Schizosaccharomyces pombe: one gene and its partners. Changing the gene in region 2 together with the main gene of any one other region gives a genetic interaction. Each region holds a gene or a part of one and is shown on either strand. Other genes may lie near its edges.

The links.
Region 1: mutations in lsk1 (region 2) and rcd1 together harm fitness less than expected from each alone (positive genetic interaction), as found in Schizosaccharomyces pombe (2 studies listed by BioGRID).
Region 3: of lsk1 (region 2) and ste11, changing one suppresses a phenotype caused by changing the other (phenotypic suppression), as found in Schizosaccharomyces pombe (one study listed by BioGRID).
Region 4: mutations in lsk1 (region 2) and imp1 are lethal when combined (synthetic lethality), as found in Schizosaccharomyces pombe (2 studies listed by BioGRID, with this or other methods).

Annotation. Positions count from the first base shown.
Region 1 is NC_003424.3:5,416,866-5,424,368, forward strand, and holds rcd1 (CCR4-NOT complex subunit Rcd1), read right to left. Parts: upstream 2,309-7,503; 5' UTR 1,947-2,308; coding exon 1,095-1,946; 3' UTR 501-1,094; downstream 1-500. Other genes in the region: mtq1 (S-adenosylmethionine-dependent methyltransferase), read right to left, coding at 1-415; multidomain vesicle coat component Sec16, read left to right, coding at 3,132-7,503. UniProt on the Schizosaccharomyces pombe protein: A differentiation-controlling factor that is essential for the onset of sexual development. Induces ste11 when sexual development is invoked through nitrogen starvation.
Region 2 is NC_003424.3:3,950,059-3,958,877, forward strand, and holds lsk1 (P-TEFb-associated cyclin-dependent protein kinase Lsk1), read left to right. Parts: upstream 1-3,737; 5' UTR 3,738-4,412; coding exon 4,413-5,360; intron 5,361-5,406; coding exon 5,407-5,497; intron 5,498-5,512; exon of another isoform or gene 5,513-5,563; coding exon 5,564-6,242; exon of another isoform or gene 6,243-6,293; coding exon 6,294-6,357; 3' UTR 6,358-6,811; downstream 6,812-8,819. Other genes in the region: qtr2 (queuine tRNA-ribosyltransferase accessory subunit Qtrtd1/Qtr2), read right to left, coding at 1-120; splicing-associated factor Saf2, read right to left, coding at 462-1,457; SPOM_SPAC2F3.16 (ubiquitin-protein ligase E3), read left to right, coding at 7,085-7,384, 7,454-7,786, 7,842-7,946, 8,009-8,548. UniProt on the Schizosaccharomyces pombe protein: Catalytic subunit of the CTDK-I complex, which hyperphosphorylates the C-terminal heptapeptide repeat domain (CTD) of the largest RNA polymerase II subunit. Involved in RNA polymerase II transcriptional elongation and pre-mRNA 3'-end processing.
Region 3 is NC_003423.3:3,980,404-3,989,807, forward strand, and holds ste11 (DNA-binding transcription factor Ste11), read left to right. Parts: upstream 1-2,972; 5' UTR 2,973-5,182; coding exon 5,183-6,589; 3' UTR 6,590-6,997; downstream 6,998-9,404. Other genes in the region: serine/threonine protein kinase Ppk25, read right to left, coding at 7,612-8,883. UniProt on the Schizosaccharomyces pombe protein: Key transcription factor for sexual development. Activates the transcription of the matp, matm, mei2, mfm, ste6 and rgs1 genes. Binds specifically to a DNA fragment carrying a 10-base motif 5'-TTCTTTGTTY-3'.
Region 4 is NC_003423.3:3,913,029-3,919,014, reverse strand, and holds imp1 (importin alpha family nuclear import signal receptor adaptor Imp1), read right to left. Parts: upstream 2,461-5,986; 5' UTR 2,390-2,460; coding exon 770-2,389; 3' UTR 501-769; downstream 1-500. Other genes in the region: F0-ATPase subunit atp4, read left to right, coding at 1-246; exoribonuclease Rex4, read right to left, coding at 3,463-4,212, 4,287-4,319; srb7 (mediator complex subunit Med21), read left to right, coding at 5,403-5,444, 5,486-5,579, 5,633-5,662, 5,715-5,965. UniProt on the Schizosaccharomyces pombe protein: Functions as a component of the nuclear pore complex (NPC).

The DNA of each region.
Region 1 (7,503 bases), 1.5 Mb from region 2:
TTAGGTTTGCCAACACAAAGCTTGATATGCAGCCAGACCCTGTACATAAATCGAGAATCTTTAACGGTTTTAATCTCTCGAGTCGATTTAGCTTATCAACCACACGTTCAACCCATTCTTCTGTTTCCCAACGAGGTATTAAAACTCCTTGTTGACAATCTATCTTGATATTACCAAAAGGTTGACTTTTCAGTATATACTGAAGTGGATAGTTTCTTGCTCGAAGTTGACAGGCATTTACTATCTTTTTTCGCAACCCATGTTTGCTAATTTCTGGATACAGCAGCTTTAATTCCTTGCATATCCACGTCCACTCTCTTTTAGCCAAAGATGGATCTCTTGTGGCATGATAAAGAGGGAGTAGGCAAGGGTTTTCTCGATATAAAGCAAATTTAGTAATTCTTGGTAGTCGCATATGACAAACACTATAATTAGGAGGACAAATTATCTCAAATTACTTTTATCTGATTATTTGCTTGAATGAAGTATAGCAGAATTAACGAACGTAAATATAAATCAAATTCTGTTGTCTATTGTACGAATTCTTTAAATTTATTAGAGGTAATCGATGAAACTGAATTGAATATTGTAGAAATAGTATAAGTATATATGATACGAAATAGGAAAAAAGGTGTTTTGGTTAAAAACATTAAATGCGTCGGCGAATGTTATATCTTTTTCTATTTTTTTTTTTAAATTTTGCTGACTCGTAAAAATCATCATTCGTGACGCATTTTAAGGAAAGATTAAGAGAAAAGGATATGAAATCCTGAATCTAACAATTGTAAGCAAAATTAACAGTAAACCCCTGATTTCCTTAAAAAAGCCATCAGAGTAAGTTCTGTCCTGAGGAATAACTTGAGCACATTAAGAGGAGTGAAAAATGACAGGGCAAAAATAATAATAAAGGAAGATATAAGAAAGACACAAGAAAAAATTGGTGACGGACGAATAACACAAAAAATCGCCATATGCCAATCACTTACGGTCACAAATTATGATTGAAAGTAAACCAGATAGGAAACGAAGGGCAGATATTGAAATAATTAATTCAACATTTAAGAAAAGTTTTTTAAAAAAAAAAAAAATAACGATTACTGATTAACAACGGCGACGTCTGATAAGTTGATTAACAATTGGGCAAGACATTTTTTAGTGTTGTGATCATCCTTTAAAACCTGAGCAAAGGTAGCATCACGTAAAGGTTCTGGTAGACAGTGTCTTAGAGCTTCTCTGGCGCGAGGATTGTCACTAAGACGAAGATAGCAACGAATAACATGCTTTAGTAAACGAAAAGCAAAAGAGTCTACAAGCTGCATTACCATGTTGTTCAAAACCGACGCAACTGCATAAAAGCGTTCATATGTTTGACAAATATATTGAAGACCAACGTCGTCACATAAAAATTTTTGTACGATGAAAATCGCAACGGTTTTTGATAATTCAGAACCGTTCTCCATGATTCTGAGACAAAGAGGAATAATTTCTGTAGATAATAAAAAGTTGATTACTTCTGGAGAGTCATTTTTAACTAATGCACCAATCACCCCTAAACTAGTAAGGCGCAGGTATTCAAAAGGTTTGGATTTTGAAAGGGTATTCAAAAACGGGTATAGAAATAAAGTAATGTGTGCATTTAAAAAGTGGATTCTAGTTTCAGGATGAGAAGCGATACACTGGAGTAAAGCTAGCGCGTTGCACACTCTGTTACTAGTTGGTCCTGTAAGTGTGGGTGGATTTAAAAGAGGATAAACGCTGATAATTTCTTGCAACAAAGCCGTCATCACACCATATGAATGCCATAAAATAAGAGCCAAATCTTCATACTGTTCTCGTTTACGAGATAGTTCGACAAGAGCTTGTTCGCGAGATGTCCCAGAAACAAGTTGAATTATCCATTCATAGACAAGTGCTGGTTCATAATTAGGGGATTCCAAGTTTTCCATTTTTTCTAGAATGCGGGAAAGAAATAAAAATGCTATAGTTTATTGTCGAAAAGAATAAAATAAAGAATAATAATTTTATAGCTGCCGGAACTAAAGAGCAACACCTAACGAATTTGTAGTTCAATCCAAAGGATAGAATAATGCACTAAAAGGTAAAGAAAAGGTATTAACGTTAAACGACAGTCAGTAAAGTGCTGAGTGTCGAGAAAATGATAAAGCTTTTAAAATTTTAATGGAATTTCAGTCCTCGTGCTATGCGTGCCAAACAGTATCAACTTGCACAGCAATACTGGACTTAAATAATTTAAAATACAACAATCTTATAAACCTGAACTGCAAATGCTGTTCCGTAGATTTCGCGTGAGAGCAATGGACAAGCACAGTGTTGGCAGGGAATAGCAAACCTACCGCACTGCGCGTTAGAAAAATGCAAGATACATTACTGAGTAATAAGGAGAATCAAATATTTTTAAAGAAAAGTGGGCAAAACGCATTTAGAAAAGGTATTTAACCATTCTTAGCTCGCTTCTAATAGAAGCTATAAAATAACAGAGATATAAGAAAAGGAATTTACCTATGTTATATCTTTGAAAGCCTTTTTTAAAAGTTATTTCTAACGCTTTTGTAAATACTACTTTTCTAAAGATTTGTAAATACATATTCATACCGAATGCGTAACCGTTGATGTTTGCTAATTGCACATCATTTACACTTTCATCAAGAGTAATTTAGTATTCAAACATATAATAACTTGAGCCGTTTCTTCTTCAATAATTGCGTTAATGTTTGAATAGCTTTTTTGTTTACTATATTTACCCTTACGAAGAATTATGAACAACATTCACGAACAATTAATATAGCGTAGTATAAGGATGTATGCTATTCTGCTTCTGACTTTAATCTCTCGATACTGACTGGCGCCATCAACAAACTTCCTACCATTTTCTATATCCTTGTGGTTGATTGTTTTTTATTTGAACCTACCTATTATTATTTTCGATTACTGTTTGTGAAATTTTGGTTGACCATTTCTCATGGAAAGCTAGGGGCCAATTTTTTTCCTACAACTTTGAGCATTGTTTTATCCTCCATTTATTGGTATACTTTGCTGCCTATTTTTCGTTTAAAAAATAAGCTAAATTTTTCGTCTTAGTAATATAATATTGGGCACTAACGTATCAAGGAATGGATATTGAATCAGACCACGAGCCTAAGGAGTCTTCTGTTGATCTTGAAGGACGGCATGATTCTATACGCAAGTCTTTTGAAGCTGACGATATTGATGTGACAGATGAAAACACCATTTTTTCTACCTCTAGAAAAGAACAAAGCACAATTGAACCTATGGATTCCTTTGTTGAAAACAACATAGCCAATAGCTCCTCTCAACAGTCAGTTTCAGAAATTGACATTCAGTTGCCTTCCTCTGAGCCTAAAGAAGGTGTTAAAGAAGAAAGCAACTTAATAGAGAGTAATTCTTTGGACAATGTGCAGGAAATTAATCCTCAAAATACCATTGGCGACAAATCGGCTCACACAGAAGAGGAGTCTTCAAATGATAACTTGGTAAAAATTACTGCTGGAACCATTATTTCTGACATAATGGATGAGCCTGTTGTGGATGAAGACGATAAACTCTCTGAAGAAGACTTGAGCAAGGAAGACTTAGAAACGACTCTTAAGGGTGACGAAAACTATTCATCGTCGCAAAAAGAAATATATGATAATGATGAGACAATTCCTAAACCACCATCTCCAGAAGTCGAAAAGATAGAAACTAGTACTTCAGTTGAGAATGCATACATTACGAACTCTCAATATAATGACACTCTTGATATGGAAGATCAGACATCTGATTTAATTACAACTTTTGAGCATGAAAATGAAGACCATGAAGTCCACGAGGTTCCTTCCATTCACGGAATGGAAGGGACTTTTGAAACCGTAAATCTAACTTCTGAAGCTGGGAATGAAAAAGAGTTTAACAACGATTCTGTAGTATTGAATACGACGCCAAAAGAAATGCAAATTTCATCTTTAGATGCTGTTGACAAACTTGAAGATAAGCCTGTTTCGAACGACAATATCAAAGCCAATATAGAATCGTCGACTACAGTTGATAGGGCTTCATCTCAGCTTGAATCGGAAAATAACGAATCCACTTTTTTTGTACATAACCAAAATTCCTCCGGGCAACATCAAACTTTGGATTTCGTCGCAAGCAAACCCGTTACCGATACCCCTGAGCTTAGTAAGGAAAATACGTTGGTGTCTTCTGAAAACCTAAATGATCCCAAACCAAATTTGCCGGAGACTGAGGTTGATTTTGGAGAGCCTTTGGAAGTTGAGGCTCCCAGTTTTGTGGTCCAGAATAACAGTGCTGTGCAGCCAACGACCCAGAAAACTTCCGAAGATTCAACCGATCTACACACCAATGAGATCCCAAATGTTGCCCAACCTCCTTCTTCTTTTGAAAAGGAGAATAACAAAGATACTAGCAAGTTGGAAAATCCGGATATTTCTTCATCACCATTAAGTCCAACTGAAGATTTGTTTCCTAATGACCCAGAAGAAGAAAATTTATTTTCGGCGGCTTTGGGCTTGAATTCGAATACTGGTTCGCAGCCATCAGAAACCCAGAGTAAGCCATCAATCGATCCATCTGAATCAATAACTGTAACCGATAATCAAGATTCTCTTCTCTTTTCCCAACTCACTAATAATGCTTTGCAAGCAGAAAATGCTACGAAAGTATCCGAAAACACTATCAATGATGAGGAGTTGATAGATGATTCAGAATTTACTTCGCTTATGAGCAACTTTTTGGAAAGCAGTACTGTTCAAACAAATAAGTATCTCCCAAAATCATCAGCATCTCCGCCAGCCAATGCTCCAATTGTTTCTTCGGATGTTCATAAAAATGAAAATGCTGGTACAGCGCGTAGAGCTCCTCAATCTGGAGCATTCGTTGCATCAAAGGCGAAATATTCTTCTCCTTATGATTTGCCCGAAGAAATAGTACAAGTAGCACAGCAAAAAAGGTCTGTATCACAAAATTACAACCGGCAGTACTCTTTTCAACCTCGTCCTGCTACTCCATCCAATCCCCCTCGTTCTTTACCTCCTCCTAGTGGTCAGGTGAATGCCCCAATGAGTCAAACCCCTAATCCAATTTCGTTTGCTTACCAGCATGGTACTCCTTTGGCGACACCTACCATGCGCGCTAACTCTTTCAATTCCTATCCAGCGTCTAGTGCTGAACCGATCAGGAGACCGGCAACCACCACCGTTGGACACACTCCTAACTTGTACAGCCCAAAGACTAATACGTACAATTCTCGACATATGGCATATGAAATGACAAAATCTCATATTAACGTTATTTCTCCGGGACCTTCTTTACAAGTTAATGCTCCATACACGCCGACTTCTGGCGAGCTTGGTAATAAAGTTAGCAACCCTACCAAGGAATTCGTATCGACATCGTCTTATGCACCTGCTGCCAACACAAGAAATGCTATTATTCGTGAACCCGGTATTCTATCACCTCTTTCTCCTCGTGTACAGCCTGTACTGTCTCGACGAGAAAGCATTATTTCGATGGGTTCATCTGCCAGTAGTTATGTTCCTTTGGAAATAGCACCAAGACCGATGTCTTCGCTTGAGCATACTATGAATTCTGCGATGTCTCCGGGTAATTTGCAGAGAACCGCAAACCTGTACAAACCAATGACGACTCCCAATGCATATAATATCAAAAATTCCAACCAGAGGGAAACAAAATATCCTTATCAGCCGCAAGCTATAAATTACTCTGAGGTTACCCAGCCTGGTAGTTCTTCGTTACCGACAAGCGGAGAAGAAGCGAACATTATCAGAAGTCCAGGATTTACACCTTTAGCAGCACAAAAGGATGCAACCATATATACCCCTTCTCACGCACAAGCAACTTTATACGGTAATATGGATAATAACGACAGAGATAATGAGGGTATCCATGACATATTACAATCAGATATGGAACCTGTATTACCCCCTCATAACTCTGCTTACCATGCTAATGCTCCCGTAAGTTCTCATTCAGAAGGACTGAACAATAGACTTCCGATTTCACCCCTTCCACCCCAATTACACAAAACTGGCACACCTTCACATCAACATGGATTTGACACTGCTGAAACTACGGCGAAGCAATATGCACCATCTATTCCACCGAATTTTAATCCAAACGTAAGCATAGATACAATGACTGAAGGGGTTGCGCTCCCTTCGGCTACTCTTGATTCTGATAAAAGCTCGTTGCATAAACGTAGCGCTGAATTATCACGAAATAATTCTCCCCGCCCTGATTTCTTACCATTACCAAATCAGCCACTTTTGCATTCTAATTTGCATTCGCCTGTCTCGCCAGTTGTTGATAGTAATGAAGACTCTCGACTTAAATTTTTAAGTACGCAAAGACCTGCATTTTCGTTTGGACCTTGTGGTACAATCGTTATGGCGTTTTCCACTCCCAGTGGTTTATACACAACTAGTGGCAAAGGTACCAAATTCATTGCAGGACCCATTAAAATAGAAAAATTGGGTGATGTGCTAACGGATGAGTATCGTCATCTAAAGGAGTTTAAAGGACCATACCTTGCCTCTAATGGAAAGGTAGATAAACATGGAAAAGCCGAAGCTATTGAATGGCTTTCCAAATATATTGACCGTCTAAACCAATCGCTAGAATACGACGATAAAAACATTACGCTTAAGGACAAGTTACTTTTACTACAGTGTTTGAAGATGCTACTGGAAGTGAGTGATCGTAAGCTAATAGTTGAAAAGCTTCGTCCTATCTTATTACCTTCCTTTGAAATTCCTGAACCTTGCAATACAGCTACTTCAGTTCAAGAGCTTATTAATCCTGAAATTAATCAGGATGATTCTCCAATTGTCGCATCTCGTTATTGCACAACTTCTTTCCTTCACCGATTTTATGAATATTTATTGTCTGGCAACAAAGATGAAGCGCTTACTTATGCTTTGCAGCAGAAGCAATGGCCATATGCGATTATTGTTGCGCATTCTATAGATGCAAAAACATTTCAGGGAGTAGTACGAACGTTTTGTAAATCAGAGGTCAAAGAATCTATGCTTAGATCTGGTGTTGGAGTAAATTTACAATTATCTTTGCAATTAATGTCTGATGCCCATGCGTCTTCAATGTCAGAGTTTTCGTCTTCTACGTCACTATTGAATTTGGCGGATCAATCGCAGGCAAGTAATGCTTTGGTAGCCTGGAAGGAGTTGCTGTACAATATTATTGCAAATCATTACTCTGACCAAAAAGAAGCATTGAGGGTTTTAGGGACATTACTACTCCAGGAAAACCGTGTTTATGCGGCACATCTGGTTTACATCTTAAGTTTATCACCGGATGTTTGCTCGAACAAATCGAATTCTCTTTTTGAACTTGTTGGTTTAAGTAAACATAACTTATATCCTTCGCATGATGATTTATTTGACGTTACACAATTGACCGAAGTATTGGAGTTGGTATTCAACGTCTATT
Region 2 (8,819 bases):
ATGAGGAACAGTTCCTCTGGAAGTAGGAAGGAAAAAGCAAGGAGTCTTCAGAACCTTGTTCTTCACCGTAACTGAAGATACGCGAGCCCCTGAAGGACTAGATAATGAAGAAATTGCCATCAATAAATCGCAAAATAAAGCTGCAAAAGTTTTGCTCTATTTACACATGTACGATATCAAAATAACGATGGTTCACTGTAGCACATTAAACGAATATTGCTATATGAATGTTTTTTAAATTTGAAAGATATTCAAACACAAAAGGTCGTCTAAACATTCGATTTATAATGTTGTAAAATAGCTTTGTTTGGATATCAGTAGTCTTACAAAACTGAAAGTTTTTAGTTAAGTAAAAAAAAAAATATCATTACATAAATTATAGTAAATTGTTTAGACTTTTTTTAAAGTTTTAAAGTAATAATAAAACATGCAAACAAGAAAGAAACAATGGAATAAAAACATTAATAACGGATAATTTTGCGACGGCGGAAGTCCTTTTCATCTGAAGCGATGTCATATAACGCTCTTCGTTTCATTTCTTTTTTCTCTTTTGTTCTTCGTTTCATTTGCTCCATCTCTTTCCTGGTATATCGCTTGTTTCTCCGTTCTGCCAGTAAACTTTGGCCATTGTGACTATTCAATGAAGAATTGATGTCAAAGTACTGTTCCATATGCTTATGTGCTTTGTTTTCTTCACTTCGCAACTCTGGTGAAGCCCATTTTGGCATAAACTTTCCAGATAGGCGATTGAACTGAACTTTCGCTGTGTAATCTAGGGGACTAGTCTGCTCTTCATCTTCTAACGGATTATTCCAGCTCGTCGTATTTGTTAAAGTGTCCCAAAAATAGTAAGCCTGTTGAGAAGGGTCCCAAATAGCGGCTATCCGATGACCCTCGGACCAAGCAATGGAAGGCTGTGCTTGGTTTTCATTTGTAGGGGAGTTAGAAGTATCATTTTTTGATGTTTCGGAAACTGTTTCGTCAGATAAAGGAGATTCTTTATGGCAATTTGTTTCAGGAACTGGTTCATTTGGTAAAGGTGGCTCCCCTGGTAATGGTTCCTCAGGAACTGGTTCATCTGGTAAAGGTGGTTCCCCTGGTAATGGTTCCTCAGGAACTGGTTCATTTGGTAAAGGCGGCTCCCTTGGCAATGGTTCCTCAGGAACTAACTCATTTAACAAGGGCTTTGATGCTTCAGAGGTTGGTTCATTTTTAGAAATACTCTCCAGATTTTCATATGTTTGAGTTGATTCAAAAGTGTTTTTAGGAGTATTTTCAGAAATAAATGAATTATCGGCATCCTCTCCAACTTGGGTATAATGTTTTCCTTGAATATTGGAGTTTTCGCTATTAGAACTGCTCGTATTCGATGAAATAAAGTCACCACTGTTCACGTTTGATGCAGGAATTGTTTGATCGACATTGCTAGTAGCTTTGCAATCTTTAGAAGACGACATTTTTTTATCAGTATGAAGAAATAATTATTATACAAAATACCGGGGACATTCAATTGCACATAACAAATAAATGGGATTTACAGCACAAAAAATAAGTACTGGAATGTAATCTAAATGGCTGAATTAAAGTAATTACAAGCAACACTATATGTTGCTGCTCTGGCGCAAGTTAACAACAAAAATTAATATTTCTGAATAACGTATCTTTGCGAAATACCACGAGTTCTAACTATATCTACTTTAAATGGATTAAGGCTCCACAGTGCGATTCAATATAACATTAATTAAAATGCACTTGGCCTGTTCATTGATGGCCAAAAAATTAAATATAATTTGGTGAATTTAACTCCTATATAAAAGTTTTGTTTTTTCAAGCCTAAGGATATCGTTGAAGCTATTGCTGTGGATTACCGATGTTAGACTAAATAATAGTTGACACCAATTCGATTTATTAACAGTTTATAAACTTTCTCCCTACATAGTCTTCTTTCTTCGATAATTACTTTAACACATATAAAATGGAATTGTAAATATACTAAACGAAACGATAAGACATAGCCAAACTATGAAGGAATTATGCATATAGCATTTGAATAAATTAAATACTGAAAGCTAAAAGAGCTGCTATAGAGTACAAACTCAGATTCTTATATCGCACCTGTGATGAATAAATGTTTGAAGAAGCGATTTTTATTAACGAAAATATAACATAATAAAAGAGCTTATTTTTTTTGCTTTGCTTTAAGATATTAGAAGTACTCTACTTTTACCCCATATTAAATGTTGAATAAGAAGATATGGTTTTCGCATTTGAAAGCACAACGTCCATGTCTTTTCGATTAAGATTCATTAAGTATTATTGGTGAATATAATTGAGTGCAAGGGACTCTCTCGCTGAATTTACCATATGCAAATATATCATAAATCCACAGAAACCAGTATAGGATGTCCGTTGAATAAGGAAAATTTTATTTAAGTCTAACTCTGATAATACGTTTTGTATGTCAGTCAATTGAATATAAGTGCAAATTTTTATTTTTTTAATGACCTATTTATTGTAATAAAATCACGTTTCTTTGTTAAAATTGCACAAATTGAGTAAGCTATATAAATATTTAGAATTGAATATATACATATGAAAGCAAACATTTGGTCGTAGGATCCTTGTACACTTGAATTTCTATGATATTTTATTATTTCATATTAATTATGCTTACGTTTTGGAATTTTTATAAAAAATTATATCGTACTGGTAGTAGCCGTTTGTACGATCATCTACCTTTTTATTTTTTAATTTCATTAAACAAATTTAATTTATTTGTTTGCATTTTTGAAAAAAAAAACTTATAAAAAATCAATTATGCTCATTTAGCTTTTTGCAATGATTTTTTTTTTTTTTAAACATTTAGTTTAACTAATGAGACTATTATTTAAACAATATTGCACCAAATTTATGTCAAAATCATCACTCTTAAAATTGAATAAACAACAGGAACAGAATTCCATGAGTTATTCATCTTGAAGCTCTTGACCTAACCTTGTTCTTTCTAAAACCAAGCATTTTTGTTTAATTTTTAAAAAAATATTATTGATTAATTTAGCTTTGCAAACAATTTGCACACAATAGATTTTGAGAGGCTGAATATGAATTTTTAATGTTTTGAAGACTGGCGTTCTACTAGAACGTCCAATGTGATAACGTTATACTTATGAAAGGATGTAAAACTTCTATATACAGTAAAATAATATATTCCCTCCTACCTTACATGTAAGGGTTGCATATTATTGATTATTTTACTTTGTATTCTTTAGACTCACGGAAAACACTAATTTATGGTAGAATATTAATTTCTCATAAATAATATTATTTTAAACGATTCAAAACTAATAGAAAAGCTCAGACTTGCCTTTATCTAGTCGACATTTGATTCCTTTGGTTTACTATCGCCAATGGCAATTTCCAAGGATCCATGCGGATTACCAGATTTATCTTCATCGCTTTTTAAAATGTTAAATATGAACTTAATATAATTCAGATGAAAAGGTTTAATCCAATAATATTATATGAATTGAGAATAACTGGTTGGACTTAGTTAATAGTTAAAAGACCATCTTAGCAAATGGGGAAGAGAAAATGGCTAAGAGTTAAGCATTGAATAAATACATTATTTACTTTGATTTCTATAAAACAAGCTGATATTCATCATAGCCTCAAATTACTTATTATTTTAAGTATGGTGTGGTAAAGGAATTGAGTCGCGCGCGTTTATTTCTATTTCTACTACACACCAACAACGAAGTTTACCTATCGCCCCTTGATTAAACTAGTGGACTTGCAAACTACTTCATTCATTGTCATAGAAGAGGAAGAACTAATTTATTTCTGTCTTTATTAAATTTCGAGATAATTGGTGTTTTTAACAATGTACATTTTGAATTGATAGATCAAAGAAATCAGGAGTGCAACTAAAAGAAAATTACGGTATATTTTTTTAAGCTGCAAGAGTTGATACTTAAAAGTATTTCCTAATTTTGTGGATACTCATATTTTGTACATTTACGTTTCAATAACATTTCTGCAACCGACTTATTCACAAATCTCTGGTTAGATTTCTCTATTGATTGAAAAGGTTTGTCTCACGTTCACCCTTCATAGTTTAGCGGTGAAAAAAATCTCCACTCTGAAAATTGTCCTTTCTTCATTTATTAGATTGCATGATTTATTTCACTGGATTTAACTAGCTTGTCTTGGCAGCTTACCTTTTATTTCCCTTGTACGATTTTTTTCCGGTGAAGTTGTATTTATTGTTACATAAAAACACATTTGGCCGTACTTTAACGATTAATTTCTTTTCTTTTATTCCCATCGAATTTTCGCTCACAGATTGCGTGTAATTCTCTTCATTGTTTAGGAATATTCCTTTTTTTATTTTTTATTTTTTTTAACCCTGTTAAATGTCATACTCGAAGAGTACAATTTATCGCCGACAAGGCACAGAACCAAATAGCCACTTTCGGCGTACCGTCGAAGAAAAGTCTCAGCTTTCTGGTACAAATGAGGAGTCTTTAGGAGGCCACACCCTGTCCTCTAATGCTTTCAAAAATAATTCATCTAGTATATCGCCATCCTCATCTGCGAAGGATCCTCGAGAACAGCGGAAAAGAACATTTCCTCTCAACGATACACATTCTTCCCGAGCAAGACAGCATGAAAGACCTTTTCGTTCTCGAAAATCTAGAAGGAGAAAGGGTAAAAAGGCATTCAGTCCTAGACCTGGCTCACCTCCATCACCTTCCTTTTACCGCTCAGGTAGTCAAAAACGAGCACGTAATTTAACTACCAAGGATTACTTTGCCAAACGCTCTGAAAGCTCTTCTAGCGCCTCCGTCTCACCTATATCACCGTCCGCAAACAGAAATGATTCAAAAAGGCAAGCTTCTTCTTTTCGAAGGTCTCCGCCTAGTTCTGTACATATGAAGCCTTCAGCTTTTAACGGTCGAAAGGTATCGCGGAGACCTTCATCTTCTCCTCCCCCTATTCCTTCTATCCCTCATGAAACTACTTCCTCCGATACACAAAAAAAATCTAGCGTGTCTTCTGGCTTTCCAGAGAACAAACATGGAAAATTTCACTTTCATATACCTAATGAACGCCGATCTCGATTCGATCAACCTCCTTCGAAACGTATGGCACTCACGTCCACGGCCCGTGAGTCTGTTCCAGCTCCTCTTCCTTCTCCTCCTTCCGGCCCAATTTATACATATACATATCCAAAGCCTGCCTATGAGAAAATCGACCAAATTGGAGAAGGAACTTATGGTAAAGTATACAAAGCCATTAACACAGTCACAGGAGATTTGGTAGCTTTAAAACGGATAAGGCTGGAGCAGGAAAAGGATGGTGTAAGTATAAAAATCAAGCTCGTAACTAAATTGACTAACTTTCTAGTTCCCTATAACTACTGTCCGTGAAGTCAAAATCTTGCAGCGTTTGCGTCACAAAAATATTGTTCGGCTATTAGAAATTATGGTGGAAAAAAGTACGATTAAATACTGTCCTCATTCACCGTTTAATTATAACTAGTTCTAACATTTTAAAATTCTAGGTTCTGTATATATGGTATTTGAGTACATGGATCACGATTTAACTGGAGTCTTACTAAATTCACAATTACATTTTACTCCCGGTAACATAAAACACCTTTCGAAGCAAATTTTTGAAGCATTAGCTTATCTTCATCATCGTGGGGTGCTTCATCGTGACATTAAAGGTTCTAATATATTACTGAATAACAATGGTGATCTAAAATTCGCAGATTTTGGTCTGGCGAGATTTAATACATCTTCGAAGTCGGCTAACTACACTAATCGCGTTATTACCCTTTGGTTTCGACCTCCAGAGCTATTACTTGGAGAAACTGCATATGACACAGCCGTGGACATATGGAGTGCTGGCTGTATTGTTATGGAGTTGTTTACAGGAAAACCTTTTTTTCAAGGGCGAGACGAAATCAGTCAGTTAGAGGTTATCTATGATATGATGGGTACCCCTGATGTTCATTCTTGGCCTGAGGTGAAAAATCTTCCTTGGTATGAGCTTCTGAAGCCAGTAGAGGAAAAGAAGTCGCGTTTTGTTGAAACTTTTAAGGAGATTTTAAGTCCTGCCGCCATTGACCTATGCCAAAAACTCCTTGCCCTAAATCCCTTTTGTAGACCGTCAGCTCATGAGACCTTGATGCATGAGTATTTCACTTCTGAGAGCCCACCTCCAGAGCCAGCAGTCATGTAAGTATAAAATTTATCGTTGAATGATATTTATCTAACTTATGTGTTTAGTTTGAAAAACATGCAAGGAAGTTGGCATGAATGGGAAAGTAAAAAACGAAAATCTAAAAGATAAATGAGCCAGAAAATTTTGTCAAGGCGAAGCTATGCAAGCTGGACAAATGTTTAAAAAAAATAATCTTTATATTTCATTTAATTTCTTTGTCTCGCTTTACTGCGGTCTATCTTCTATATATTTTGTTAACACTAGGCAGAGTAACAAATTTGTCTGATGCTGGACAACTTTTTTTCATTTTTTGCTCTCTTTTTCTTCCGAAAAAGATGAAATAAGAACACTAATAGCTCATGATAATTAAATGTTCCACTGGTTTATTTGACTATTATAACTCTTTCACCTTTTAAGAACTTAGAAATCAAAGGCTTGAAGTCTTGAAATGAGCTTGGTACTGTGTACAAAAAAGATAAATTCAAAGGACTCGTATGAATTTATGATGTGGTTTTCTTTTAATCAGTCAACCGTAGTAATAATAATTTGTTTACATATACTTTTTAATAATGTTAAGGTGCAGATGTTCTCAAGAGCCTGCTCAAATATTTAGTAATGATGATTTAACAATTAAGAGAGCAAAAATTAAGTTACTATTTGAATGCGTAGCTTAAAATTGATCAAAGTATATCTACGGCTTTTACAATAGTGTGATGGCACGGATATCACATTCCGCATTGCACTGGACCACACTATAAGTCAACACTGAACTGATCGAGGAATAGGTAAGCATTCCCCTTCTCCTTTTGATCAAGAACCATCATTATAACAAAAAAAACAAACACAAAAAAAGTCGATGTCATTGTCGGAGTATCTTCGTGAATTCGCTGAGATTTTTGAGGAAGCTGCACAAGAATTAACCTCAATATTCGAACTACCTCCTGACCTGTTGAAAGATATTACTGAAGAGGATGTTGGGACTGATGACTCTTGTAATAAGAAATTCCTTGAAGTTCAAAAGCAAAAAGAAGATGAAGAAGATGAAGAAATATTGAAAGGAGTGGATTTAACGCAGCAAGATTCCGTACGTGAAAAAATCCACGAAATACAATCGATGTCGCAATTGAGTGAGAAGAGAAAGGCCTTACTTATGCAGGTAAGTACATGAAATTAATCATAAAAGTGAGATTTAAATGAAAATAAGATTACTAAACTGGCTTTGTAGAAAATGCTGATGTCTGGTTATTTAAAATATCGACGAACTCACAAGAAAGAATCTGATGAGAACCAATTGAGCTCATCTGATCTTGAAAAGACTTATTATGACAAAGAGCAAGAAATTTTAGGGTGTTCTCATTACATGCGCAATTGCAAGGTTCAGTGTTTCGATTGTCACGAGTGGTATACGTGCCGTCACTGTCACAACGATGCTTGTGATCATGTTTTAGAACGACCTGCCGTAGAAAACATGCTTTGCATGATATGTTCCAAGGTTCAACCAGCAGCTCAATATTGCAAATACTGTAAGAACTGTATGGGCCGATATTACTGCAATAAGGTATGTGATATTTTATTTGATACTTGTTCAATATCACTAATACATGACTTAACAGTGCAAACTTTGGGATGACGATCCGAATAAAAGTAGCTATCATTGTGATGATTGTGGTATTTGTCGAATAGGACGCGGTCTTGGCGATGATTATTTCCACTGCAAGGTAACTTTCGTGTACTTTTAGCACATGCTTTGCTTTTTAAACTCATATTCTAACAGCTGTAGACTTGTGGCCTTTGTTTACCTATTTCGGTTTTCAATACTCATCGTTGCATCGAAAGAAGTACGGATTGTAATTGCCCAATTTGTGGTGAATACATGTTTAACTCTCGCGAACGCGTAATCTTTTTAAGTTGCTCTCATCCGTTGCACCAGCGATGTCATGAAGAATATATAAGAACCAATTATCGTTGTCCTACTTGTTACAAAACGATCATTAATGTCAATTCATTGTTTCGAATTTTAGATATGGAAATTGAACGACAACCCATGCCTTATCCCTATAACACTTGGATTTCTACCATCCGTTGCAATGACTGTAACTCACGTTGTGATACGAAATACCATTTCTTGGGTCATAAATGTAATTCATGTCATTCTTACAATACTTGTATTTCATCAATTTACAAACCTTTGGATCACCCACAGGTGTCTATCCCTCGACTGGCAACCGCTGAGGATGCCGGTATGCGACGGCTAATGGGACATTCTTGGGACAACAGCGATGAAGACTTTAATATTTTCGGGATTCACAGTTTTATATAGATTTTCTAACTTTATGAACTTCCTAAACTGTTACGATTATCCTATATGTACTATTATTTTGGAAAAGTTGCTATTTTCATTCAATTCTTTGCAAGAATTACGAATTTTTAACGTTTACCCCAATTGTCTGATTATATTTATTCCCTTTTCTCGTCCTTTTGCATCTACTTCTTATATGGTTTTTTTTCTCAACAAGTCAAGCGATGGTATGAAGTAAATCGCTTAAATTTCCTCGATGAAGAGAATTTCTGTTTTAATTAATCTAAACTCA
Region 3 (9,404 bases), on a different chromosome or scaffold from region 2:
GTGTAAGATTGCTTGCCACTGATGGACCACCATATTTTGAGTATTGCATTTGTTTTTCTTTTTTCTTTTTTTTTTTTTTTTTTTTAAAATAATTTGCGCCGTTTTCTCGCTCATTACCAGTTTTATCGAATTGCTCTCCAGCAAATCGGCTATTCATTTAATTGTATTTCATCCATTCGCTCCTCCTTGAATCTCCTCCAACTTCAAACTAACCATCCCCTGAATTCCTCCACTTCAAGGAAATAGCACATTCTAACGTGAACGCAATCCAACAACGACTAATGGTGTAATAATTTGCAACCTAATATATTTTTTTTGTACGTCAATTTAAGACACATTCATCGTCAACAGCGAAATATATAAAATGAAGTTGCAACGCTCAACCGGAAAAGTGCATCCGGCAGCATTAGAGTATGTGGTATAAAGTGTACTATTTTTAAGGTTGTGCGTGGGATTTCAAGGTAGGCTTAGATACTACTGAACTGGAAAAAAAAAATATGTCCCTAAATGTACCAAGGCAACGTTATTTGAGCTTGTTGCCATCATAGTTACAAAATGACCATCACTCTTCTCACCTACAGTTGTGGGCGCCCACTTGAAAAAAATACGTATTACACAGAGTAAGGTAAGACAAAACAAGGAAGTTGTAAAAAGTGCGTTTCGTTCTTAGTTGCATAATAATTCATGAAATTTGTAATTCTTTTTATAGATAGTAGATAGGAATACAACACTAAAAAACAGTACACTTGTCCGGATAAGTTGTCGCGTATATATCATTACATTGTATGGTTGCTGTTGATTTAATTTGGATGGTACGAAGTTTGCCGGCAAGTTGATACTGAGCAGCGCCATTTGAGATTGTATCGTAATCAGATTGGTGGCTGAAGCAACAGTAGAAAAAAGAATGGTTTGATTTCGCAGTTGAAGAGAAAATGTCATTTTGTTGAGAAAAAGCCCCGCTTCAAAAGTGGACTCGGCTCTAGAGCAAAAAGTTAATCGGCAAGTTTATTCGAGTAGAATAGGAAGAAGTAGTAAGATAGAATAGATACTAGAGGAGAATGGATATGACAATAAAATGGGTTGGTAGAAATTTAATAAGTTACGCTTGTAAAACACTATAGCATTTTTAAAGATACATATGGTCAAAGACACATATGATCAGAGATATACATATGATCAAGAGTCACCCATATATAGGATGGTCAATTTTTTCACCAAATTGTTTTTCTCCATTTTTTTCATTTACTGTCTATCCAACATCGATTAGCCGCAATGAGGGATTATACAAGTCAACAATGATAAGCACAGTTGGCTAGCAGAGTCCAGTTCCAAAAGGATGCAATTTTGGTGATATGTAAGAAAACATTCCACAATACAATTTGTGAAGTTTTTAGCTATAAATTTATCGGTTTAGGTTATTTTCAAAGTATAGTCGTTTTCAAAAAATTATATTCGTTTTCAAATTAAATTCGTTATCGTTCAGTAGTAACCTTTTTCATTCAAAACTCGTCTTCATCTATAACTAATCTACATCTTCATCTTCATCTTTACCTCTACTTTCTCCCATCTCTCCTTCCTATCGTCTCCTTCCTCTCTGCATCTTGCCGGCCGCCATTTTCTGACTCGGCGGGTCATCCACCTTTTAAGCTCAACCTTGTTTTGCTGGTCGCTCGCTCAATTCTTACAAAAGCCCAGGTTAATAGTGCGATTGGGTGATATGCAATGGAAATTAGCGCATATCTCAAGTTGTACGCACACATACGCTAATCTGGCGGCAATTCCTATTTTCTATTACATTGCATAAGTCAAAGCTACTTTGCACAAATTCAAGTAGCATTCATTTCCTTCTCTAAAATAATGTCTAGTCTTTGGACTTTTATCGTTTTCAATGGTTTTATTTCTTTTTTCCATTCCATTTATTTTTTTTTTGAAATTTTCACCTTTCTCAATTTATTCGTCGTTCTTTTTTTAATATAATAAGATTATACTTTTACAGCATACATTGTGTCTCACATAGTCTCTTCCATCGCGTTTCCCATTTTATGATCTTGCTAAAAAAATGTCATTCTTATGCAAATCACCCTGTACTACCACAGCACTTACCTTTCCGACATTCTTGTTCTCCATCTTACATGTCTATCACTGTAGCGATAGATTATTTGTGGTGCATGCCATCTCCAGGGATGATGGAAGGGAAACACAAGCACCCACGCCTAATTTTCGGTAAATTGTAGCAAAATTCCAATGGCAATGACTCGATAGAATCATTGTATGTGTGTGGTTTCTTTCCTTCCGCTCGTAGTACCTGTATTTTTCATCATGACTCCAAGTCTTCGCCATTCTTATTTCACTCCCGTTCCGTTCACCCCAAACTACTTCCTCATCACTTGCTTACTACTCAAACTGCCGGCACTTGTTTTCACACATTCGCTATGCTTTTTTATTCTTTTAACATTTGCTTAAACCTTACCTATAATACCCTGCGGTTTCGCAAATTGCCGCTCTTCAAATGCCCGCTTACTCTATTTTGCTTTCTCCACCCCTCCTTAACTCTCCAACTTCCCCAGCGTTCTACAATTCCTCATTCATTGGAAGACTAGTCGTTGGCTTCTTGTCATTTTGCCTTGCGCTATCTCCCTCAACGAAAAGTAGCTTTGCGAGACTTTTTGCCAAGTGCCACACTAATCTTTTGTACAGGGGGGAATCCCTGACTTTGTTTGCTGTGTTACATCGTTTGTAGGCAAGTAAAAGTGACAAATGCTTTCGCATCATATGTTACTTTAACCCCTGTGAATTTTGTCCCTTCCCCTCATACACATTTTGGCTAGACTTAAAAAAGTTGAATTTCTTTGTTTGATTTTCATTGTCAGTAACATCGCGTATTACGCCTCGCTCTATACTCTTACTAGTTGGTTGCCAATGCGTATGTATATATATATATATATACATACATACCTGGTGACTTACATAGTGAGAATCTATTCATTTAGCATATATTAAAAGGATATCCAGCGTTGAATTGTTTCGCGTCGTATATTGGATTTTCTTTATTATCAAATAAACAAAGCATTATTAGCATTCTGACTTTTCAATCTTAAACCTGATTGTGAATGCTAAAAGAAAGTATTTCATTTGATTAGTTTGCATTTTATTTTTCTTTGAGAGCTTTTGCCTCGTTTTTTTGTTTTCTCTTTGTTTTCTTTTTTTTTTTTACTCAACTTAACTTAACTTTTCTGGTCTTTGTCTTGATTGCAGCTTGTCGTCTTTGAATTAGCTTGCCTCCTCCCATTCTTTCCTGTCTATTCGTGTTAAGTCTATTCCTTTATCTTGGTTTGCTTTGGCTTAGCTCTATTCTTTTCTTTGTTTTGACTTTACTTTGACTTATTTTCACTGACTATTTCTAAGTTTAATTTGTTGATTAATTTTTATTCACATCTCTTCTTTTCTTTATAGTAAACAGACTTAAACTTTTTTTTCTTCTTCTATTCTGTTTCTTCATTTTGTTGGTCCAATTGGCTTCGCTTCTCTCTTCAAACTTTTCTCGTTTTTCTTGCCTCTACGTTCTTTTGGGATCCTCCTCTGTTGGAATTGTTAATTGAGAAGTGTTGGAATAATTTTTTCGTTTCTTGAAATCAAAAGGATTTTATCTTTTTTTTTAATTTTTACGTCGATTCCCTTACTGTACGTCGAATCCCCCCCTTTTTTTTATTTTTTTTCTACGTCAAAATTTTTTTATATATTTCTTTGTCTCTACCACCATAGTTATCCTTTATCAACTTTCTCTCTACTAATTAACTAAGTTGTTTCTTTGTTGCAATTTTTGCCCAACTTTAAATTTTTTTTATTCGCATCGTTATTCTATCGCTTGGCTGCTTATCCTTGATATCTGATCTATTAGATTTTCATTCCTCATTTTATTTTAATATCCTTTTTTTAACGTGTTTCTTTTGTGATTCCATTAGTACACACCATTCAGAATTAAGTTGCATTCACCATCGGTCTTTGTTGGCTCATGTTATAACATTATTTCTCCCCTGTCATTGTCGCATTATTCACGTATTCATTGGTATTCCTCACTTTATTTGTATACCCAAAGTTTCACCATCTTACAGAGCTCAACCATTCTTCAGTTATCGGTGTCTCTGAAATTTCTCCCTTGTTACGCCTTTTTATTTGACTCACTTTTCCGTTATTTAGTCTTCCGTTTCGTCTGTTTTTCCTGTTAACTATTCCGCTCTTTCTTGTTTTTAGTTTTTCCTCCGTTTTATATAGAGAAAAAAAAGCCTTAGAGGCTCGTGATTTTGTTCTCGTTTTCAAATCTCCTCAACTTAAAATTAGGCTTATAAGAAAATCACTTTTAAAGCTTCAATTTTTTTCTTGTGGCCTTCTATTATATATCACTTTCACTCCTTCTTCCACTTGGACCTCTACTAATTGTCTCTTTCAAGTTATCCTTGATTCAATCGCCTTTACGAAAAATATCCTTCATCATTCCAACTCGATCTAGTAACTTTTCAGTCTCAACTTTCATCTTTTTTTTTCTACGCTTCTTTACATTTTTCAAATCGGCTTTGAGTGTTGCTTCTGTTTTTTTCTTCTTGAGCTGGAAATTCCATTAGTTTCATTTATTATTTCATTACCTTACTTTTTTCGTTTAGGAAAAACCTGGCATCAAATATACTTTTGTCACTTTTTTCTTTTTTTTAGTCCAGTCAGTCTCTATTCATTAAGCTTGAACTTGATTTCTTTGGCGAACAAGCTTGTTTAATATCTAGATTGACGGAAATTTTATTTTCATTTATTTGTTGATACATACAAGGGAATTTTACTTTTACTATATTCATCTGTTACTTCACTGTGAATAATTTGTTCATTTTTCATTCTTGTTAGTTTGAGATTTCTTTCTATCTTAATACCATTTTTCTTTTTTTAAATAGAAAAAAATCCTTCACACCAGTTTTTATTCGGTGTTTATTTCTTTACTGTTTTCTGATCTCATCCCCTCTCCCTCGGTTTGTGCTGTTCGCTTCTTTTCTACTTCGTTCTTTCTGACTGCGAACTTCATTTATGTTTGCTTTGTTCTTACTGAATCATCTTTCTAATTAATTCTAAGAACCGTTTCATTTGTTTTATTTTCTCCCTTACTTTTACTACAATTTTTATATTTACTCTTCTCTACACAATGTCTGCTTCTTTAACAGCCGAGCAAAAGGACCAAAAAAGTTCTGTTAAGCGACCTTTAAACAGTTTTATGCTTTATCGTCGAGATCGCCAAGCTGAAATTCCTACTTCTAATCACCAAAGTATCTCACGTATCATTGGTCAGCTGTGGAGAAATGAAAGTGCCCAAGTCAAGAAGTATTATTCTGATTTATCCGCCCTCGAAAGGCAGAAACATATGCTGGAAAATCCCGAATACAAGTACACCCCTAAAAAGCGGTCTACTGTTCGTAGACGCCATAAAAAGGTATCACCTTCTTCCGGATCTTTTGTGGCCTCGGATTACGTTGTACTGCAGCAAATTGCACAATCTTCTAAGACTCTAAAACAGACCGAACCCGAAAAGCCTGTTAATGAGGAGGAAACTTTAGCAGCTTTATTAGCTCCCGCTCTTTCATATCCAAAGTCAGGTAAATCGAATCTTATTGAAACCAGTGAATTGTCTTGTCTTTCGTCTTCCCCAATGATTCGAAGTCATACAATTCCTTCCTTATCCTTCACCGATCAAGTTTCTACAACTATTTCTACATTGGATAAATCCGAGCAAGCTCCTAGTTCTTTGGGCATCTATTATAGATCACCCAGTAGCGGTAGTCCAATCGGGCGAACAAAATCTGTGTGTTTAGCTAATAAAGCCCGAATAGTACCGAAAAGATCAATGTCATCTGATGGCTGTGTTGACAAATCTTATCAAATGTCAAAAACACCGAGCTTGGAGGCGAACTTGCCTCAAAATTCAAGCAATTGCTCTGCTCGAAGAGTTCCAAAATTTGATTCTAAAGGAACCGTGAGTGAGCAAAGTAACTCTGATAGTCCAGAGCTGTCAGCCGATAAAGTGTTGTCTCATTGTAGTCCTATTGATGCTCGACCCTCAACTCCCTCTTGCCCCAATGCCAGTATATCACCTAAAACCCCGAATACCGGTGATCATTATGGTTTTGATGGAGCTGAGTACCTAGGAACTCCTCTCAGTGTAGGCAGCACTACTGCGTATTTATACGGCCAAGAGACCGAACTTTTATCTACGCCTTATTGCCATACTTCTTACCCAGCAATGAGTCGATTGAACAGCAGTTCTGGCTATACATGCGTCTCTTCGTCTAGTGTTACCAATTCTGGACATACTGAAAATAATACCTGGAGAAGCGACGAACAAAGTAAAGGCTTTGTTGACATTAATAGTTTTTCTCAAAGTTTGTTCTCAAATGGCAATTATGAGTTCGCCGCTCATTCTCAAGAATTGGATGATTTATTTTCACAAATTACGGATTTTACATCAACTGATCCTATTGCTTCCTCACTCAAAGATGCTAACTCATTGGGACCTTCTCTTTTAGAACCTTGGTTGCCCAATTCTAATTTATTTTGAAAATATTTCTATGCAAACATGGCTTTGTTTTCAACAAACGATCATTTTTAACGCGTCACAAAAGCATGCAGCTGATTTGTTCATGTCATGCTTAAAAATCTATATTTTTTTAATTTTGCATATCTTTGTTATGCTAGATGATGCCTTCCATAATTTATTTCATTTACCTTTTAAACTCTTTAATTATTCCCTTTTTATGTTTATTATAGGAATATGTGTATACTTAGTTTCCAAAGAGCACATTGGGCAACATTGAATAGTTGCCCACTAATTTTCTTTTTTTTTTAATTTTGAACAATGTCTTACGTTATGAATTGATTTCTTACATCTAATTTCCTGTCATCTAATTTGGGCCCGTTATTACATATATATTGTAGTTAAAAAAATATATATTATATCGCAACGTAATTTCTAATTTTTCTCTTCCATTACTTTCGTAAGAATGTTAAGTATATATATGTTCATTATTTTCTTTACGTATCAAGCAATCATCCAATGCAGTATTGTTATCACCATTTCACTAGATATACTATCGATGAAGGTTTACTTGGCACCCACACCTACTGGGGTAATGTAAAGATAACTCAACCAATAAATTGATTAAGAATAAAGGTAATTAAATTACCTGACAAAGAAACTTATAGAATTCATTCGGTTTCAATGGCGAAAGGTATCTATCTATAAATGTTTATAGCATTCGGCATTCAAATATTTCATGAAAAGCGACGGATTTAAAGAAGTAATGCTATCAAAAATCGATCAATTATATTTTAAAATTATAACGCAAGTCGTAAGAATCTTTGTATATGTTGGATTGCAAAACTGTATTATTTAAGAATGAAAACAAAAAGAAAAAGCCTTAACTCGTCTTTACCCACTAACAAAAAAAAAAGAAAAAAGTTAAGTTTAGAAACAATGAAACTCTTTAATTAAAGTAACGAAAAAGAGCCACAGGTTTTAATTAAAATGGAACTTCTTCGAAAACACATAATAAATGCTAACAAAAATTACTCCAGGAGGAATTAAGGTGGACACTGCATAGCAGTAATTTTCTCTGTCAAATCCATCGCACCCAGAATTTCTGAATGATGCCGTTGGTGTCTACTATATACAGGAGGTAAAGCCGTTGGAATTCGAAGTGCTGGAGCGAGACTTTCGACACCCAATAAATACAGACAGACTAATGAAGTTGTTTTTCTCTCAATGTAAGCCATGTAAAGTTCATGTTTTAGTTCGGGAATACTTGCTAAACCATGCTCATGTAACAGCTGTAAAACCTTTAAATTAAAAGGCGGTTTGAAAACATGAGATCGGATTGAAGGCGTTGAGGGAATAGAGGTTAAGGGAATAGGCAGATACAAACAAAACGAATTTTTTTTTAACCAGGGAAATTTTGCTGCTTGTTCTAAAGAACAGCGCTTCCGTGGGTTTACATTCAGCATAGCTGCAATAAGAGAACAACAATCTTCTGAAATGTAAGAAGGAAACTCCAGTTTACCCGACTTTATTTTTGAATGGAGCATAGGAACGGAAACGTCGTCAAATGGGACTCGTCCACAAACCATAACATAAATCACTACTCCCAGGCTCCAAACATCAACCTCTGGGCCTATGTACGGCTTTGCATCAAGTAATTCTGGGGCCGCAAAATAAAGACTCCCACAGTATGTACGTAATAAATCGTCTTTACTATAAAAATTACTGAGGCCAAAGTCAATTAGCTTCACCTGACGAGAATCCTGAGTTAAAAGAACATTCTCAATTTTTAAGTCTCTGTGTACAATAAAATTCTTGTGAAGATAAACCAATGCATTAATCAACTGCATAGCAAAACTCCTAGCCAAATCTTCATCGAGTTTGCCACGAGCAAGGATGTACTCCAAAAGTTGTCCTCCAGGAACGTATTCGAACAGTATGTAAGTACATGCAGGCGTCCGGATACAGTCTATTACCCGGCATATGTTGGGATGTCTCAATAAACGACCTAAAAGTGCCTCCCTTTGAACACGAACTGTCTGACTTGTATTATTAGGAGTAAAGGGAATCATTTTGAGAGCTGCTTTCTCTCCTGTTAAAATATTTACAACGAGTTTAACCTTTCCCATACTGCCAGCACCAATTGTTTTCTTGATAATCCAGTTTCCAACTTGTCGACCAGGACCAGCTGTGCCAACGAAATCAGATATAGACCTTTGATGTTTTGTAGACTGATTTATTTTTATATTCTGAGAGCGTTTAGGAATAGAGAAAGTATCCCAGCACTCATTCCTTAGGTTAGTTGTGTTCGGTTTCATCTTCTCAGCTGTAAAAGGAATTTATGAACAAAATTGTGCTTAAATAATTCAATTACAAATGAAGTTAAGAAAGGAAGAAGTAGTGTCTTAGATAAAATTATCATAAAAAGAAAACTCACTTCACATAAAAAGATATATTGTTCTTAGTAACAACAATACTATTAAAGTGTTTTTATCACTGTAACGCTTAACTTATGTAAAAGCAGACATTTAATTTTCAAGTGAGAATCCACTCACATGGAGTTTGCTAAAGGTTGAGACACTCCTCTCAAGGTTCTTCCCTTGGCAAAATTATTTGGTTTGGTCAGTATGGTACACGGGACGCGTCGCGACGTTAATTAATTTGTTTCGTTAGTGTGCGTTATACAAAATGTAAACAAATAATAAAACTCGTCAGAAAACTTACCCTTATTTACCAGTATCTTACAACAAATGCATTGGATTTATGAAGGTTACTTAAATTTGTTCTTTTTTTACATTAAAGAAAAAAAATTATGGTTTTGAGTATTTAAAAGCGATGG
Region 4 (5,986 bases), on a different chromosome or scaffold from region 2:
AAAGAAACTGCCCGTATGGAGGCTGAGATCTTTGAGCTCGAACAGCGAGTTGCTTTAGCTAAAGAAGCTAAATCAGTGTTGGATAGCTGGGTTCATCACGAAGCCAACGTTCGCGCTGAACAACAGGAACGTCTCGTTGAAGATGTCTTGGCTCGTGTCAACAGCAAAGTTTCTACCCAAAAGTTCCAACAGGATGCTCTCAATGAAAGTCTCGGTGAAATCGAAAAGGTCTTAGCTAGTGCCTAAATTGTTTTTTCGAGGGACATAATACGATAAGACAGCTGCAGTTTTTTTCAGTCATATTTGATTTGCATATATGCTTATTAGCAAAAATTTGCGTCATTATTGGTTTTCAAATTGCATTCACCGATTAGTCGAAGTCATTTGAACCTAACAGTGTATATCGTCCCCGCTGCTTTCTTTTATTTTTATTTTCTTTGATCCTAAACCCCCTTCTCTATTTTGCCTAGTTGCAGCTCTTACGAATATAAACATTTTTAGTGATATCATGCTATTTACCTGTACCGCTCTGTTTTAGTAGTACACTCATTTTTTTCGTAAACATATTATTTAACCGTAGTTTTTAATCCTAATAGAAATACTTAGCTTCACAAATAGCTAAATTGAATTAAAAATAGAGGGTAAAAAAAAGAAATACAAACCCAACAAAAGCACCAGTAATGGAAAACAGAATTTGTCTAAGTGAAACATGTAAATAATGTGCGCTTCGATTAGAACAAAAAAAATTTTTTTAAAATTAATTTAAACGTTACATAGCCATATCTTGAGAATCAAATTTAAATTCTCCTTGAGCTTGAGGGCCATTGCCAAATGTGAAGGCGCCATTTTCGGTTTCAGGTGCCAAATCTTCAACTGCGTCCTCGTCACTGAAATACTTTTCAATGATGCTATACGCTTTCAAATAAATATCGTTATTTCCGGAGGATTGCAAATCATGGATCATATCCATACCGCCAGCTTCCTCAACGTAGACAGCGTATTGATTAATGTTTTCAAGATCCATAGTTCTGTCCATCTCACCAACTTTAAGTATGTTTTCAATGGCATCGAGAGCAACTTGAATAATTTTATTATCGGATCCGTTCAACATATCGCAAAGTGGCTTAATAACGCCTTGTGACACAAGGTAACGAATTTGGTCAGGCTGACCGAGACCGCCAGAAGTAGCATTAGAAATAGCCCAACAGGCTTCTTTTTTTGTTTTGTAGTCGGCATATGAGAGTAAATGGACCAATGGAGGTATAAGATTACTTTCAATAATTGCTTGGATTTGTTGGGTATTGCCAGCAGTAATATTGCTAATAGTCCAACAAGCTTCCTTACGAATGTTCTCTTTTTGATGACTGAGAAGACTAGGGAATGCATTGAGAGCACCGCAATCGATTATGATCTGTGTTTGCGCGTCAGTACCTGTTACTATATTCCCCACAGAGCGAAGGGCAGGAGTTTGAATATTAACGCTGGGAGAGCTCAAAAGTTCAACAAGCCTGGGCGCACATCCAACGTCTAAAATGGCGCCAATTTTTTCGTTAGGTCCATCAGAAAGATAGGAGATGGCCCAGCACGCGTCAACAATAATCTCAACGTCTTCAGAATAAAGGAGCTTAGCAAGGATTGGAACGGCTACAGAAATAGTTGACCAGTTAGGTGGTGGATTTTTGCCTCTACACAAGTTAGAAAGTGTCCATGTAGCGTTACGGAGCATAGAAACATCAGAAGCGCTACTCTGAAGAATATTAAGTAAAGGCTGTAAAACTCCGTTACCGAGTACATAGTCACGGCAGGCAGAAGAATCGCCAGCTATGTTACCGAGGGCCCATACAACCTGCTCACGGACATCTTTTTCAGGTGAAGAAAGTAATTGAATAAAACGAGGAACAGCGCCGGAATCAACAACAATACGGGTTTGATCTGTGGTACCACTAGCGATATTTGTTAAGGCCCAAGCCGCTTCAAATTGAAGCAAGTGATGTTCACTTTCTAAAAATTGTACGAACCGGTCAACAACACCACAAGCAATTACCTGATCAATAGGGGGATGCGTCTCCTTAGAAAGATATTTCCTGAATTTCGTGACGGCACCTAATTGTAGCTCAATGTCGTCTGACATCACATCAGCTGTCAATTTAGGAAATTCATCTTTCATTTGTTGCTCCATTTGAACCTGAGACTGATCAGCCTCCTCTTCCACATCAATGTCATTTTGTAAAACAGCGTTTAAATTCCTTCGTTTATTCAAACTTTCCTCACGTTTTTGTTTGCGGATTTCAATTTGCTGTTCTTCACGTTGCCGACGAAGTTCATCAGCTTTGAAAACACCTTTGCTTTTAAAACGGCTTCTTCTATCTGATAAATATCTCGATTCCATTTCTATAGGAATAAACTTTTTTGATATCCTTTTTACTCTTTTTTTTTTAGTTATCTAAGACAGTTGTGGTTGCTGCGAGTTTAATGAGAATAAGGAGGTAAAAGAGCACTTGTGTCGTTCCAAGAAGCAGCCGGCACCCAGGTAACAATGTTCAAAAATAATAAATTTAGAATAATTTGAAATATATCATTTTCCGGTTCAAATCGTTGAAACTTTCTAGATCATTTTTGTTCTGTCATTGGAAACCTTCGCACCATAAAACGGGTAAAACAACATGCTTATTGAGCTCATCAACCAATTTTTCTTGGGTTTTTAACAAGCTGAATGCTATAACAAGAATTCAAAATTTAAAAACAAATGGAATTTTTCTTTAAACAACCTGTCAAGTTGGCCTATTTTTATTTTTATTTTGATTATATAATACATATAGTTGAGCAATTTAATCTTTGAATAAATACTTATTTTTCAAACACTTCCGTATCTGTTTTGTAAGCTATTAATATGTATACATTAATGGTCCATTGTCTAACTAGAATTTATTTGGTAGCTATTATTAATATATATATTTTTTATTTTTTTTGTGATAATAAAGATTAATTCGGTATTTATATAAATTTAGGAATTAACTTAACGGCGCTTGAAAACATATTATCGTCATTCAGTTAAAATGCTCTAAATCATATACACTATAGGAAGTAATCTAATTATATAACATTAACTTTATTAATTCACAAAGTAATTATGAAGACCATATAAACGAAGCTGATAAATCTCTATATCCTTGTTTTTTCCATACATTATTTCTTTCCTTCAGTTGTATGCATCATTTATTTATACTAAAAATTATTAATAGATTGACTATTTAAAACCAGAAACGAAGGAAACAGAAGAGATAAATAAAGAAAGAAAACCAACGATTTCATAAGAGCCAATGAAAACAATATTGCTGTTATAAGCAACCGAAAATATATTTAACATCTGACACATATCCAGTAAAATTATAAGAAACATTTTCTTGCATATTATTAAACCCAAATCCCAAATGACCAGAACGAAGTCTAGTGATTCAAAGCTTATGACTTTGACAAACCTTTGAATGCAACTTCATCCATTTCTTTTTTTACTTTCTTATATAATTCCATCGTTGCTTGGGCATCCTGGACGGAAGAATGCTGTCCAGATTGAATGTCACGCCCAAGAATCACTTCAGCAAGTTTTTTAAGCCCTGGTGTCCTTCCCTTGGCTAATTTCCGATACCCAGAAAATCTGCTGGTATCACGAATCATTCTTCTTGGATGCGATAAAAGTAGTACTTTGAGATCGTTATGGACAGCATGTCCAACCAATACTCGATTGTCGAGTATCTTAGCAACTTCTGCTTGTACTTTTTCAAATGAAGGTGCATCCCGCATGTGAAATGACTTGACACCACTGACCCATGTTCTCCAATCCGTAACCTTTTCTTTAGGACGGACATAAGTATCATACACGACATGACCATGATAATTAACTATACTGACGCGTGCAAGAACTGACATGTCATCTGCCACCCCAACCATTTCACAATCCATTGCAATATATTTCCCCAATGTTTCCAAATTGGTTTTTCTGGTAAGCTTGGAAGCATCCACGCCATATGCGTCAAGGACTTGAGATTCAGGGATATCATTTTCCTTAGCAAATTTCTTTAATTCATTCATGCGTTTTTTATCGACGATATAAGAATTCTCATTCTCATTGTTTTTACCTTTCACACTTTTAAGGTATTTCTTTTCATTAGAATGCTTTTTTTCAACCCGTCCACTCTTAGCGCTGTCGAGTTTCTAAACAACCAATACCGTTAGTATACTTAAACAAGAATCTTAAATGACTTAATGGAAACTATAGCCTTTCATACCTTCTTTAACTTTTCCCAATTGGAAGAAGACATTGCTTGTGCATAAGAGCCAAAGTTGGTGCAAGAAGCAATTTGCAACCTCTTTCAATATGATTCTCAACGCGGTATCACAAATATTTTATCACATTTTAGCACATTTCATTATTTTGAATAAAGCGTTGATGATAGTACGTTACGTTAAGTATCATTATATAAGTCACATGCCTTGTATTTATTTATCTATAGTATATATACATATATTGACAGTGATGCACCATTTGTTGCTTCTTGATGTAACTACTGCCAAATATACGAGACTATGAAATAAATTAACCTCCGTTCTTCGGGTCACCAATGAGCTATTTCAGTGTGTACCCACTTCGTAAGAATATTATAAGGTACCGGTGGTTAATGCATTTCCTAATAAAAGAATATTGTGAATATTCAAGACCCGTAGTAGCATATTCGTTAAACATTTAGTGATTTATGTTTGCTTAAAAGGATAGATTGTATTGAATTTGTAGCATTGTCCGCTATCTTTTTAAAAGCAGAGTACTGCAATTTTAATAACAATGCACCTTCACGTAATATGAAAACACTCAGAATGAATGGATTATCAAAAAGGTACTGAAAGGGGTGGGACTCGAACCCACGAGCTTTCGCACTAGTGCCTTAAACTAGCTCCATAACCACTCGGACACCCTTCCACGATCAAAAATATAATAAATATGTCGAATGTATTACTATTATCATTGTTTTTCTATGTTAATTAAAAATACTTAGCTGATTCTGTAGTTTCTGTAGTTTATTTTTTTTCGCTTTCCATTAATTTTTTTTTAAATTTTATGTACTGTTTTATGTTAAATTTCTTTTGCTTATGTCAAGCGTGATTCTAGCTTAATTCTTTTTCCCGATTGCTAGACAGTCGGTTTTTAGGTCGATACATTACAATTACAAACAATGTCATAAAATCAAAAGCTGTGCATAATAAATATCCGATGCTGAAATAACAGAAAAGTTAATTAGCGATTTATTGTTCTTGACATTTGCGCTTCAACAATTGTTACCTGCATCATGGACCTTCAACAACTTGCGACTTTCAACTCTTTTTAACTCATATTACACCTACATAAAAAAATGGCATGTAGGTGTACTCAGCTTCAAGATACAATTGATGAGGTAATGGGACTAGTTTTCTTTTTCTATTCTAACCTATGTAGGTTGCCACACAATTTTACTCTTCCATTCATTATTTAAGTTCTCATCATGATTTCGTTCCTTTACCTGGTCAAGAAAAGGTTTCTGATTCTAAAGGTATACAAGATTCATTATGATGCTATTCAAAGTAGCTACTAACAAATTATTAGTGAACCCAATTTCTGCTGAAGAGTTACAATGTACGATATTAGACGTCCTCTAGTCATTTTATGTGCTAACTTCTTTTTGTAGTCGCTCAAAGGGATCTAGCAAAAGACTTGGTTACAAAATTTATGCAAATAGACACTTTGATCAACCAACTTCCAGGTATTTCCACTGCACCAAAACATCAATTAGAGAAAATTAAAAAGTTACAAAACTCCATTGAAGAAAAACAATTGGAGAGGAAGAGTTTAGAATCAGAAAATGAAGATTTAAAATTACAATTGGCCAAGAGGATTGAAACATTTGGCCGGTTATCATGTGTCCTATTTCAGCCCTGATGATAATATGTAAGCAAAATA